Diceros bicornis minor: one gene and its partner. The protein of the gene in region 2 purifies or fractionates together with the protein of the main gene of each other region. This does not show direct contact. Links are inferred from orthologs where the notes say so. Each region holds a gene or a part of one and is shown on either strand. Other genes may lie near its edges.

Region 1 (7,555 bases), on a different chromosome or scaffold from region 2:
CTCAGGTCACACTTGGGGTCTGGACTTGGGGCTGTGCATGATGTTAACCTGGCACAGAGCAGGATGTAGGCAAAGGTGACAGTCATTCACAAGGACAAAGGAAGAAAATCTTTCTCGTGGCTTCAGGACACACGGCCCTGAATGGTCTGCAGACTGAATTTTAGTTTGTCAGGTGACATTTTATTGAGGCTGCACTGAGTTTCTCCCCACTTCTTCCCCTGGAATTGCCCGTTTCAGGCCCATCTCCAAAATCTGAGCAAGGGGCAGCTGGGCAGGGCCGAGCAGGCTGACTCTGATGGCTGGGCCCACTATCCAGGGTGGCACGTTGGATGACCACACAGGGACCAGGCAGAGAGGAAAACACGGGAGGGGGAAGGTGGGCCGGGCCCACGTGTGTCCCTTCTCCTGCCAGCCCTCAGCCCCACCCCACAGAGCCCTCCCTCCTAAGGCCCAGCCCCCTGGACACAGCACACCCTGCCTCACCCTGCTGCTTGCCCAGCTCTGCTGCCCGCCCCACCTCATATCCCAGCCACCAGCCCTCACCATGCTGGGCCCCCAGCAGGTGTTCCAGCCCATAGGCGGTGATGGTGGCATCACAGGAAAGACACGTGACCATTCCATCCCAGCAGAGGGGTGGCATAGGAGGTCAGTGGGGGAAAAGGAAGGGAAAGTCCTGCAGTAAGCACATTTAATAGTCCACTCAGGGGTGTGTGGCAGTGCCTGGAGCCATTCTGGTTGTTACAATGACTGGGGTGCCACTGGCATTGAGTGCCAGGGGACAGGGTACCAGGGTGGTATGTATGGGACAGTCCAGCTCAGTGAAGAACAGTCCCTCCCAAGGTGTCAGTAGCCTCCCCACCTCCATGCAAAAAGAGAAAGGGGGGGGGGAGGGAGGGAAGAAGAGAAGGAAGGGAGGGAAGAAGGAAGAAGGAGGAAGAGAAAAGATAAGGAAGGACAAACACACACAGCCCCAGCCTGTCACCTGGCATGAAGAAGGCAAGCTGCCAGTCTGAGCATTAGTAGTGTTGCTGCTGCCACTAAGGAGTGAAGACTCCCCCAGGGAGACCTTAACAACCGTCCCAGCCAAACCCTTCTTCACGGATGAGGAGACTGAGGCCCTCCTGGAGAGAGGGCCATCTCCCCCAGGCACATCCCAGGGCGGTAACGGGTTTCTGGGCTCTCTGACCAGGATACCACATCAACTCCTGTGATCACCTACCTAGGTCCCAGAGTGACCCTTGGGCCCTGGGTGGCAGAATGAGATGTTACCCAGCAGGGCCACAGCGAACGTCAGTGGAAATCACTGTTAACTGAGAGTGACTGGCCAAGGCTCAAAGGGGAAATGAAAGCAGGTCCGGTCTGGGCTGCGGTGAGGATTCGGGGCCTGAGACTCCGTCCCCAGTTAAGGGCTGACTTCTATGGTCTGGTGAAGGGCCAAGGAGAGGGTGGCCCGGCATCCTTCTGGGAACATCCAGGAGCTCCTCTGGCACCTGGCCTTCATGGGTAGCTCCCAACAGCCAAGACAGGCCCAGGACCAGTGTCTGCCTCAGAAAACCCCTTCAGGCGGCACCCACCATGGTGCTGTATTCATTTCCTAGGGCTGCCATTACAAATCACCAAAACTGGGGGGCTTAAAACAACAGAAACTTATTCTCACAGTTCTGGAGACTAGAAATCCAAACCCAAGATGTTGGCAGGACGATTTTCTCTCCAAAGGCTCTAGGGAAGAATCCTTCTCTACCTCTTCCCAGCTTCCAATGGTTGTCAGCAATCCTTGGCGTTTCTTAGCTTGCAACTGCCTCTCTCCCATCTCTGCCTTCATCATCACTGTGGTGTTCTCCGTGTGTGTGTGTCTGTGTGTGTGTGTGTGTATCCAAATTTCCTTGTTTTTATAAGGACACTAGTTATTGGATTAGGGCCCACCCTACTCCAGCATGACCTCGCCTTAACTTGATTACATCTGCAAAGACCCTATTTCCATCACATATACCGGGATTAAGACTTGAACATCTCTTTTGGGGGAACACAATTCAACCCAGCACAGTGATCAATTGCCCGAATCCCTCCTACTACTACTCCAAGTTTGGTCCACGGAGCATCAGCCTCACCGGGGAGCTTGTTAGAAACACAGAACCTGGGGCCCCACCCCAGAGCTAGGAATCAGAACTGGCCATGTAACAAGACCCCCAGGAAATCTACATGCTCATTGTTTTGTTTTCTTTTGTTTTGCTGAGGAAGATTCACCCTGAGCTAACATCTGTTGCCAATCTTCCTCTTTTTGTATGTGAGCCAACACCACAGCAAGGCCCTTGACAGACGAGTGGTGTAGGTCTGCGCCTGGGAACCAAACCTGGGCTGCCGAAGCACAGCACACAAAACTTAACCTCTAGGCCACTGCGGCTGGCCTCTCATTCAGTTTTGAGAAACCTTGGGTCACCACCCACCTGGGGGATGTAACGGGAGGCCAGGAATTCATGGAGGTGGTTGCAAAAACTGGAAAGAGGATCTCCCAGAAGAGAACTGTCACTTTGCTGTCTTCCCTTCTCTGCTCCTCCCTACCTCTCTCTTCCCCTTAGAAGCTATGAGATATGTCAAGTTTCATCCTTGGGAAAGAGGGGAGTGTTCACACACACACACTCAAGGGAGGGGCCTTTAGGGAACCAACAGCTTGTTCTGTGTCCTCTGGAATTTGGGGGATACAGGCACCCATAAGTGACTCATAAATCAAACATCTAACTTTGACCAGCCAGGAGGCCCACCCTACAGCAATGCAAAGAGGAAAAAGCATCTCCTACAACAGAGAGGACAAAAGATGTGGCCCTTACTAAAGGATCAGGATGGGGTCAGCTTAGAAAGGCCCTTCCAATAGGAGCACCTGGACACACAGCTGACCTAAGCAGGCAGGTGGTACCACAGGCAGGCAGGCTAAGCCATGAGCAGCCAGGCGAGGGAACACCTCAAAAGTATGCCTGGAAAGAGTGAGTCAGCAACCAAGGATGCGCCCCACCTGAAGCTCCCCAACCACATGGCACCTGCCAGTCAAGGAGCCCCTTCCTGCCGCTTCCTTGCGCTCTCCCCATCTCAATCATGGAGAAGCCAAAAAAGAAACTGGGGTGCAGGGGACAAGGTGAAGCCAGAGAGACAATGTCAACTGTGACTCCTTGAGAGATTTCTCACCTGAGACAGGTCCGAGTGTGGGGAGAGGAGACACTTGCTGTCAGATTTTGAACACCCTGAAAACATTTCTATACACTGATATCTGAGGAGCTCTCCCCAAGATTTCGTCCAGGGGGGAGAAGGAACAAGTCCATGAAAAGAAGCAGTCCTGAGAAAGAATAAAATTGCTCTCTGCTTGCACTCTCCTGAAAATCCAGCTTGTTCATGAAAACGCCATTGTAAGAGAGTATTTAATAGGAGGAGGTGACCTCGGCAACAGGGTCGCAGAGGGCTTCCCTGACAGGTGACAGTTGAGCTGAGCTGGGGTGTGACTGGGGTGAGGGACGCAAAGGCAGGCAAGTGGCTCCCAGAGGAAGCACGCTGGCCCTCACTGTACAATCGCTCCCACGCCACTCTACCCTACAGTTACCATCCACTCTTCCCACAGGTACCCCTGGGCACCAGCCAAACTCAGCCCTCATTGGTTCCAGAACACCTGCCACCACCATCCCCCAGAGCAGCTCTGCTTTGACTATTGCTCTAGCCTCGTCCCCACCCCACCCCACGCCACCCCCGCTTCCTCTGCTATCCACCTTCCACCCTTACTAGAGTAGTAGTTGAAAGGTACAGCCACAGCCTTGCTTAAAACCCTCACACCCCCTGCATTTACAATAAAACCCAAGCTTTAAACCTTGACACAGAGCCCTGGAGCTCCAGCCTGCCCCCTTGCCCCTCTCCCTCACACGCTGAGCTCCAACCACAGTGGCCGACTCCTTCTTTCCAGCCGTAAGGACACTGTACACGCTGTCCCTCTTGCCTGCACGGTGGGCTTCCAGGTCTGCACAGGCTGCTCCTTCCAGCCTTCAGGTCTCAGTTCAAATGCCACCTCCTCCAGGAGGCCCTCATTGGTCACCAGTGTGCTTCCCCCCTCCACGGGGCTCTTATGTCTCCCATTACACCAATCCCACCCTCAAACGTCCTTTATCCACCCACTCCCCATCCCCCCCCACCCACCCAATCTGTATGTTACCTAAGGGCAGCAGCAGCAGGACACACAGTAGGCTCAGAAACGAGCGAGTGAAAAAAGGAAATAAAAAAGAATTAAAGAATGGTTAGCAAGACCTCAAAAGCACGGATATTGTTTGGGATTTATTTTTAAACCCCCTTTGAAATTGGCTGGCCGCAAAGCAAGCGTGAACAAACTACCGTCTGCCATTTTAGGCAGGCGGTCAGCGCGAGAGCGAGGCCAAAGGGCACCCGGCCCGCAGGGGGCGCCCGAACTCGCCCAGCCCCGCCCCCGCGCCCCGCGCGTCGCCGCGCACGTCCCGCCTCACTTCCGCTTCGGAGGAACTCAGGGCTCGGCATTTCCGGACGCGCCGCGTGGAGCTGGTCGTCTTGGGGACTTGCAGCATGGCGGTCTTTGCGGGCCCCGCCAAGACTCTCCTGTCCCTGAACCCACAGGAGGACGCCAAGTTTCAGAAGGAGGTGGCGCAGGTTCGCCGGCGCGCCACCCAGGTGAGCGGCCGCCACGGCCGGGCTGCGAGGGGAGGCGGCGGGCCGGGTCTGGGCCGCGGGGACGCGCGGGCCCGGTGCCGCGCCCTGCTGCCCCCGGGATGGCCTCGGGTGAGCGCCGACCTCGCGAGTTTGTAGGCCGAGCCCCCGAGACGGAGTGTGCGCTGACTGGGAAATGGGGGTGGGCTGTGGCCGCGGAGGTCTTAGAGTCCTCCCGTGGACTAAGGGTGAGGTGTGGGGGGACGAGAGGAGCAGGAGCCAGCTGGGACGGGCCCTCTCGGTCCACGGATTAGAGCTCCCACGCGTCCGCCTGGCCCCCGAATTCAGAGAGTTCATATGTCTGGTTGGTAGTTTGGAGACAGTATTTGCCAAGTTCCGTTTGCTGATTAGGGCCCCTGACGTCAAGTTATAGTTGTCTTGATTTTTAGCAGGAAATACACGTTTGAAAACTTAAAAGTTGTAATAGAAGGCAAGGACATGATGACAGACGCTGAAAAGTTCGTTGGCGTTGTGAAGGGTTACGGAAGTTTCGAAATTGTTTGGTTAGGTGGGTGCGAGTCAACAGCGATCCGCATACAGAGGTGAAGGGTACTTTTATGTGGAGTTCTCCGGCCTGAAGATTTAAAATAGTGTGTTCAAAGACTTGTTGATTCAACGTATAGTTATCGAGCATGAACATTGTGCGGCGTGCTGGGACACAGGCTGAGAAGACAATCCGCTGTGATGATTGTCCTCGTGGGGAGATGGACATTAAACAGCTAACTCTTTAGTTACTGTTCTGCTAAGTGGAAATAGTGGCTAGGCTCTTGGTCTCCTCTTGAGAGTTAGGGAGGTTTGCAAGTTTTGTTGCAATGTGATTTTTTTTAATTGAAAAAGTAATTATCTGTTTTTTATGTTTTCAGCGACAGGAGAAAAAAAAACTCACTCCTGGAGTAATCTATGTGGGCCACCTACCTCCAGCGCTTTACGAAACCCAGATCCGAGCATATTTCTCGCAGTTTGGCACTGTTACAAGACTTAGACTGTCCAGAAGTAAAAGGGTAAGATTTTTGTGTTGAATTTAGATTGTCTGTTTGTTTCTTTAAAAGGATGTCATCCTTGATAGTTGAGAGCATGTCCACATATTATTGTTTATCAGACTTTGCTCCAGAAAAGGGAGGTGGATGAGGTTTAGAACCTGAAACAACCACAAAAGCAAAATCAGTATTATTGTAAATGTTTACTTTATTTAAAAAAAAACGTGGGGGCTGGCCCCATGGCCTAGTGGTTAAGTTCAGCATGCTCTGCTTCAGTGGCTTGGGTTTTCGGGTTTGGATCGCAGGCACGGACCTACACCATTTGTCAGCCATGCAGTGGCCGCGACCCACATACAACATAGAGGAAGATTGGCACAGATGTGAGCTCAGGGCCAATCTTCCTCGAGAAAAAAAAGTGATTGCCCCAAATCCTCAAATTAAATTGACAATCCTAGTAAATAAATCATATTTATTTTATGGCTACTGAGCCAGGTGTACATGAACTTCAGTTTGAGGAGCGGTTCATACATCATCTTGTATTACCCTTTGGTGTAGGCACCCCGTAATAGCAAAAGTTTGTATAGTGAATAGTTAAGGATGAGGACACTGGAGCCAGACTACCTAGGTTTGAGGCCTGACTCTACAGGTTACTAGTTGTACGACCTTGGACAAATTATGTAACCTCTGCATGCATCGGTTTTCTGATTTGTAAAATATGAGTAAAAGAGCACCAACCTCCTAGGAGTATCTAGTGAAAGATTAAACACGGGGTAATGAATGTAAGGTTCTTAGAGCAATGCCTGATAACACACAGTAAACACTGTATAAATGTTATTGTTATATTATCTCTATCTCCTGATAAAAAATGGTTTATGTGGTTTGTATCAGTAAAGGAGGAGTGGCCCACTTTATTTTCTTCCTGCACACATAAACTTTAATTGGTTGTAACCATAGACCTCTCATTGTTGGAATCTCTGGGGGTTTTTTGTTTTTTTGTTTTTGTGAGGAAGATCAGCCCTAAGCTAACATCCGTGCCTATTTTCCTCCACTTTATGTGGGACGCCACCACAGCATGGCCTGACAAGCGGTGCGGAGGTGCACACCCGGCATCCAAACCTGGGCCGCCAGCAGCAGAGCGCGCATTTAACCTCTACGCCACGGGGCCGGCCCCTCTCTGGGGGTTTTTTGATACAGTTTTTCCGCATTTTCCTGCCTGAGTTATAACAAATCAAAGTTAAATTTTATATTTGATTTGGCATGTGAGGGGATAGGGTATGTGTCCATCATCTGCTAGTTGTTATAAAACCACAGGTATTAAATGTTGTCAAAGCAACACGTCAGCATTAAAGGGAATTTTAAATTTAAAGTGCCCTAGTATTTCTTCCATCCTAACGAAAATAACATATTTTCTTTGTATTCCTTCCCTTTTATTCCATTTGCTTATTTGTAGTGGTTTCTTATTAGGTGGGTGAGATATTTCAAACCTCCTGAAGTCTGCTAGAGAGTGATTTAGTGACTGTTCAGGTATCTGCCGTTCACCTTTATCAGATGTCAGCTTCATCTCAAACTTGCTCCAGATCTTTGTTCTTTAAGAAATGGATTATAGGTGAACTTGAGGTCCCTTTGTACCCTTCCCCAGTCCTCTGCACCTTCTCCCCATGCCCAGGGAATTAGTATTCATGAATTCAGTGTTTTTCATTGCTGTGTGTGTTTTTCAATTTTTACTACATACTCATGTATCAATATACATTGTACATTATTGTTTTAAATCTATATTAGTTATATATTTTATTCTGAAACTTAATTTTTTCATTCAACTGTCTGCTCTGAGCTTTATTGATACAGCTCTAGCACATTCATTGTCATTGCTG
Region 2 (7,122 bases):
GCGGTTAAGTGTGCGTGCTCCGCTACCGGCAGCCCGGGTTTGGATCCCGGGCGAGCACCAACGCACCGCTTCTCCGGCCATGCTGAAGTGGCGTCCCACATACAGCAACTAGAAGGATGTGCAGCTATGACACACAACTATCTACTGCGGCTTTGGGGAGAAGAGGGGGGAAAAAAAAAGGAGGAGGAGGATTGGCAATAGATGTTAGCTCAGGGCTGATCTTCCTCATTAAAAAAAAAAAAAAAAAAGAATTACTAGGTTAAAAAGAAGAAACTTTTCAAGGTCCTCAGACGCCAAATGCTTTATAAAACACGTGTGTGCATTTCTATTCCCATCAGTGGGGCATACAAGTGTCCACCTTACCACATCCTCACCAGCACTGAGCATTCTCATATTTTAAAATGCTCTATTCTACAGCTCTTTTAAACTTGCATGTACACTGAGAGGCCATAAGATGATAGGAAAGCAGTGATGGAACACTAAAATATCTTCTCTACTCAGGCTTATCCTTGTCACTGAGGCATAGTCTCAAGGATCTGGAAAGACTAAAAGGCAAGGCTTCCTTCCTGAACAGATAAATCTCACCTCTTCACCTTCATCCTCATTGTCATCCTCTGAGTTGGAGTCAGCTCCACAGTCATCTATCATATCAGCGTCGCTGTCCTCGGAGCCCCAGAGGTCCCCCTGGTTCACCACACCATCCTCTTCAGAGTCTTCCTCCTCCTCTTCCTCCTCACTGCTATGGGTTGGTGCTGGGCGCTTCTTGCCTTGAGCAGTATTTAATAAGGACTGGGCTCCCTTCTTACCAGGTGTCTGGACAGCTCTTGCAAAGATCCCTAAAGGTTTGAAGAATTCTGGACTGATGGCAGTCACACACTGATAGAGCCTGTATTTTCTACCCCCAAGAAAGTCCTTTGGCTGTTCCTTTCATTTAGCAGGCCCTTCTCTACCCAGGACCCAGAGGGTTCCTCATGTAGCACCCAGCTCCTATTTTCACTGACCTTTTGGTAGCTTTCCAGGCAATGGTTTGATCCCAGAAGACTTATTCATCTTAGGGACTTCAGCAGAGCCCAACTTCCTCTTGACTGCTCTGAAAAGATACAAGGAGTGAGAAAATGGAACATATCTCCAAGCTCTGCCATTTCTCATGACAGGGAAACATGACAGTCCCCAAACAGCCCTTTCCATCAACATGATCACATGGATTCATGTGGCTTAGGAAGAGCAGCACCAGTTGACTCGATATAAGTCTAGACATCCTCACTCACCTCTTCCGAGCACGACTAGACAGCCTCTTGGAATTTTCATCACCAGCTGTTAAAACATAAAAAAGAGGCAGAACAGGAGGTTACAGGTGAAATGAAAAAGAGCAACAGGAGAGAAAATAAAAGTGGGGAGAAATAAGTACAGTAATTAAAGGGAGTAGACTGCAACTCACTCCACAGTGTTTTACCAGGAGCTGGATAAGAGATGTAAAGGAGATGATCTCCATCTGGTTGTTCACCAACCAAATCCAAATTGGGCCTCCTTCCAGACTACTTTTTTTTTTTTCTTTGACGAAGGCTGGCCCTGAGCTAACATCTATTGCCCATCTTCTTCCTTTTTTCCTTTTTTCTCCCCAAAGCCCCAATAGGTAGTTGTACGTCACAGTTGTACATCCTTCTAGTTGTTCTATGTGGGACTCTGCCTCAGCATGGTTTGATGAGCGGTGCCTAGGTCCATGCCCAGGATCCAAACCGGCGAACCCTGGGCTGCCAAAGCACGGGAACTTAACCGCTTCGCCACCGACCGGCCCCACCTCCACACTTCTGATTGCAATAAATAGCATCATCACCATTCTGATAACACAGACTCAAAATTTATCTTTTCTTCTGCCTTTTCCTTTACTCTCAATTTAATCAGTCACTAGCCACAGTAGATTTTACCTTTATGATTGCTGTTTTTCAAACATTCTCCAAGAAATAAAAGGTTTAAATCTCAGCCCTGTCACTTAATAACTATATGCAGGTCATTTAACCTCTCAACATCCGTTGCCTTAACAGTGCCTCTCCCACAGGAAACTAAGAGAATGAAGTGATATGATGTGTCCAAAGAGTCCGGTATAGTGCCTAGCACAGGTTAGTACTGCAATAAACTGCATCTTTTGTCCAATGCCCAACACAAACTACCTGTCCATGCTTCTCTCTTACCCAGTGTTCCAAGCAGTAGCCTACTCACCATGTGGGAACCAGCTCTGTGCTTTCCCACCTCCATCCCCTCCACAATGCAGCTCACAGCGACTGGCCTGGAGTCCCCTTCCCAACTTCCACTTGCTAAAATGTCAGCCATTTTTCAAAACCTAACTTCATAACAAAATCTTTTTAAATTCTCTAACTGCATGGGATCCCCCTTCCTCTGAACTCCCTCAATGTTAAAGCGGGCCTCTCCTTGCATGGGTTCTTGTGTCCCTGTCACATCTTCCCTAAGTTCTGGCTGATGACAGTGAGTGTTTCATTCACGCCTATTTCCTAATAACTCATACAAACGAAATTCCACTTGAGCAGAAGGTGAACAAAAACTAAAGAACGGACGGGGTTATCATACAGATGAAAAGATGGCACAAAAGCTGGAGAATGGGGAGGAGGCAGGCCTGACCCTTACCTGCAGGCAAGAATCTGGCGAGTTCAGTCTCGGCACCTTTCTGCTTCCGGGCCTTTCGGCCCGGCCCGCGCTTCTCCTTCGTAGGGTCCAACTTGCGCCCCATGGTACTGGGGAAACGAAAAATGGGAGCAGAGTCGCGCGTGTTGGAAAGGGAAAGGCACACCGCAGACTTAGCGCATTACGGTGGGAAAGCGCATCCGGTCAACCAGCCCTCGAGGCCTAACCAAACCCCCTCCACGCGGAGCCCCGGACCCTGCGTCCCTCCCCACGCCCCAGTCCAGGTCAGTGCAGTCACCCTTCCTTCCCCGACTTCCTCCAGAACCACCCGAAGCCTCGGCTCACCCGAAGGCGGGTCCAGGCCCCAGACGCCTCCTGGGTACGCGGGGCAGCACTCCACGTGCACCGCGAGGCTAGCGTTCGGGCGCCGCACTCCACGGAAACGCTTCGCGCAGGCGCGCAGAGCTCGCTTCACTGGTGGCCCCGCCTCTTCCGGCCGCTTCTGGTCGGGCGCGGAACCCGGAACGCGCGCGGGGCTGTCGGCAGCGCGGCCGGGGAAGATTTGGAGACGGACCGCTCCGTTCACAGTCGCAGAGGGCGGCGAAAGGAACCGGGACGGAACCGTTTTGCGCTTCCCTGCTCCTCCCTCAAGGCGTTGGCTTTTCGCCTCACTGCAGATTTCAATCGGAGTAACTGGAACCTGAGAGCCGCCCCTCCCCTCAAACCAAGGCGTGAGATCGGGGCCCTCCTCTTGGCAGTGTCCGCGCTCCGCCCAGTCTCGGAGTCCTGGAATCCCACGCCGCTCTCCCACCCCGATCCCTTCAATTGGGAAGCCCTCTTTGACCCAGACCACCGCTCTGCCCGTCGGGTAGGGTTCCTCTCTGCCTAGGTGCACAGCTGGAGGTCGGAAGACACCTCACATCCTAGTTTCACACAACTAGATAAAACTTCAGCCTTCCTTCAAATAAATACTAACAGTGCTTAGTAGCTGTTAGAAACTGTTCCAAGCACTTTACTGGTTTTATCTTCACAACTCTATGAGGAAGATAGCTTTATTTTATACATGAGAAATCCACAGCCCAGAGTTCACTTCCTCAACGGTACAGAGCCGTTGGCCGGTAGTACAGGGCACGAGCCCGGGTGGTGTGGGAGCCGCTCATTCCCCCAGATGCTGGTCATCCTTGGTCCAGAGCACAGCGGGCACGTGCAGACGTGACACGGTCTCTTGTGGACTATTAGAACACAAGTAGCCCCTGGTTCTCAGCTGCACATTTCCCAGGGCTCCTGTCATGCACACTCATCCACCTGAACCTACACCCACACCGAACCAGAGCACTAAAATACAAGGAAACTTTTATTTTCAGTTTTCATCAAGAAATTTGCTGTGGTTTTTTACGCTTTTGGTTCTTTTCCTTTTTTTTTTTTTTTCACTTTATTTTATTCTAGCTGCTCAGTGGCTGGAGCCGCTGGGTTCCTGGTATTAAAAAGATGCCAACAGAGGTAGCTGTGTCTCGCCCAGGGGCCCGGCCCACTCTGAATACCCCAAAAAAGGAGAAAAGGAAACACAAAGTAAACCAACAAAATAAAACCAAAAGGAGAAAGAAATTCAGATCATTTTCTTCAAGCCTGGCGGGACCCACAACAGTTTGTGTGTAACAGACGTTACAGTAGGGAGAAGCCAGGGCCCAGAAGGCGGCCAGCCCGCCAGCTCCCTGCAGATGGCGCCGGCGCTACTGCTGCATGTCTCTCCAGCAGGAAGGGCACCACTGCCCCTCACTCCCTCCCCTCCCCCAGTGCACTGGGGGCTGTTCCTTTACAACATGGAAGATGGGGCAGGAGGAAGGAGAGGGTCTCTCAGGCCCCCAGGTGAGAAGCTGGGCAAGGGAAAGTGAGGAAGGTCACTGCTCAGCGGTGGAGGTGGTATCATCAGTCTGATCTTCACTGCTGCTGGGCTACCTACAGGAAAAGAGAGCCAAGGGAGTCAGAATGCCAGACCACAGGAATCCACCTGATCCTACGGGAACTCAGTGGTGACACAGCCCCACCTGTCCAGTATGTAAAGCTAGGGACAGACAGCAAAGTAACAGTGGCTCTGCTCGAACAGCTGGCCAGAAGAAAACGGTCCTACCTGCTGTGGAGTAGGTTCAGGTGCTCGGTTTGCCAGGCGGCTAAGAATGTTACGCTCTGACATCTGTAGCCTCACAGCAACTGGGGGAATTCGGGCAATAGTAGCTGGGAGTCGAGTCACATCGGCTTTCATGTCACTCAGCAGTTCTTCTAGCTGTTTCAGAACTGCACAGGAAAAAAAAAAAGTGGTGAGCTGTGGTGGTCAAGACCAAGATCCTTCTTACCAGTGGACCCCTGGCCCCCATCACTTCTCATTGACCAAGGGACTGATGTGCTGGAATGCTCAAGTATTGTCTTTTGTCACTGCGTCACGTGACCTGGCCTCTACCATGCTCAAATTCCTATTCCTCACATTCTAGTTCCAACTGGCCATGCTTCTATGCTTCTTAAAGTCACCTAACCCTCACTGTCCCTTGCTCCCAACTGTCTCTATTTTCTCTACTTCCTGAGACACGCTTATTCCTATTATTTCCTTTTCTATCTTTCTTCTCCACCTTTTCGAGGTGTCTCCCTCTTCCTTTATAACAGTCTTCCTTTCCTCACTTCACCCTCCACCTCTCTCACAATGTTTTAACTTTAATCAGAAAAAAAAATGTTGAAAAGGGTCTAGAATTTGACAGGATCTTAAATCACCTGAAGTTACCTCTGAAGTATCCCAGATAACACTATATTATTCTGCTTTGCTTTCCACCTCCAACAACTTGAATATATTAAGAGTTGAAAGAGGCAAAGAACTACTGTCCTCGATTGCCTCTAAGACATTAGCTTCCCAAGGAGGAAGGCTAAACTCCCAAAGGGGCTCTGAAAAAGGTTTGGAAACAAGAAGCCAATGTGTTGGGGAGGGGTAGAGGAAGAAGGAGGCTGAGTCAGCAGGAGGCAGGGGAGCCACTGGCTACCTTTGTGCAGGACTGCATTGGCTGGCTTGTTTCCTGCCATTGACTCCTTGGACAGGTGCTGATGACTCTCCGCCAAACACTCCACCTCAGCAAAGCGGGTGTTTAGGGCCATGGAAGGGTGAGAGGGGTCCTCTGACATGTTCAGGTAAGCTGCCCGGCGCAGCTGTTCCTCAATCACCAGGGCTTGTTCTAAGAGCTGGACAAGGGATAAAGAGGAAATGGGAGATGAACTGACACTCACTTTGCTTATTTCTGATGGGCCTCTCAGAACCTATAAAGAACCTTACAGATGGCTCCCCCAAACCCAAGCAGTTCAACATTGCATTGCCTTCTTTACTCTCCTTTCAAGGTCTACGTTTTTAAAACTCTTTACCCTGGGCCGGCCCCGTGGCTTAGCTGTTAAGTGCGCACGCTCCGCTACTGGCGGCCCGGGTTCGGATCCCGGGCGCACAGCGATGCACCACTTCTCTGGCCACGCTGAGGCGGCATCCCACATACACCAACTAGAAGGATGTGCAGCTAAGGCATACAACTATCTACTGGGGCTTTGGGGAAACACAAAAAAGGAGGAGGATTGGCAACAGATGTTAGCTGAGAGCCGGTCTTCCTCAGCAAAAAGAGGAGGATTAGCATGGATGTTAGCTCAGGGCTGATCTTCCTCACAAAAACATAAATAAATAAAACTTAAAAAAATAAAACTCTTTACCCTTTATTGATTCACTCATACAAAAATGATAAAAACTCAATTTAGAAAATACAGAATATATAAACAATTAAAATCACAAATTTTACATAATTGAGATCATTCTACAGTAGTCCCCCTCCTTATCCGCGGTTTTGCTTTCCAAAGTTTCAGTTACTCAGAGTCAACTGCGGTCCAAAAATATTAAATGGAAAATTCCAGAAATAAACAATTCACGTTTTAAATTGCACACTGTTCTGAGTAGCATGATGAAATCTTGCACCGTCCCACTCTGTCCGTCCCAGGACGTGAATCATTCCTTTGTCCAGCTTATCCATGCTGTATAGGCTACCTGCCTATTAGTTACTTAGTAGTCATCTCGGTTATCAGATTGACTGTCACAGTATCACAGTGATTGTGTTCAAGTAACCCTTATTTTACTTAATAATGGCCCCACAGCCAACTTTAATATTATTGTTGCTAATCTCTTACTGTGCCTAATTTATAAATTAAACTGGGCCGGCCCCGTGGCTTGGCAGTTAAGTGCGCATGCTCCGCTACTGGCGGCCCAGGTTTGGATCCCGGGCGCACACCGACACACCGCTTCTCCAGCCATGCTGAGGCTGCGTCCCACATACAGCAACTAGAAGGATGTGCAACTATGACATACAACTATCTACTGGGGCTTTGGAGAAAAAGAGGAGGAAGATTGGCAATAGATGTTGGCTCAGAGCCGGTCTTCCTCAGCAAAGAGAGGATTAGCATGGATGTTAGCTCATG

The links. Proteins that work in one complex are often made in the same cells at the same time.
Region 1: the proteins of NOP2 (region 2) and NIFK fractionate together in Homo sapiens (co-fractionation; 3 studies listed by BioGRID, with this or other methods). This does not show direct contact. The link is inferred for Diceros bicornis minor from reciprocal best matches to the Homo sapiens genes NOP2 and NIFK.

The regions. Positions count from the first base shown.
Region 1 is NC_080749.1:11,042,541-11,050,095, forward strand, and holds the start of NIFK (MKI67 FHA domain-interacting nucleolar phosphoprotein), read left to right. Parts: upstream 1-4,522; 5' UTR 4,523-4,566; coding exon 4,567-4,671; intron 4,672-5,570; coding exon 5,571-5,708; intron 5,709-7,555.
Region 2 is NC_080756.1:55,119,625-55,126,746, reverse strand, and holds the start of NOP2 (probable 28S rRNA (cytosine(4447)-C(5))-methyltransferase), read right to left. Parts: upstream 3,089-7,122; 5' UTR 2,983-3,088; intron 2,748-2,982; 5' UTR 2,744-2,747; coding exon 2,641-2,743; intron 1,315-2,640; coding exon 1,269-1,314; intron 1,091-1,268; coding exon 1,002-1,090; intron 837-1,001; coding exon 586-836; intron 1-585. Other genes in the region: CHD4 (chromodomain-helicase-DNA-binding protein 4), read right to left, coding at 4,576-4,593, 4,766-4,929, 5,661-5,856. UniProt on the Homo sapiens protein: S-adenosyl-L-methionine-dependent methyltransferase that specifically methylates the C(5) position of cytosine 4447 in 28S rRNA. Required for efficient rRNA processing and 60S ribosomal subunit biogenesis.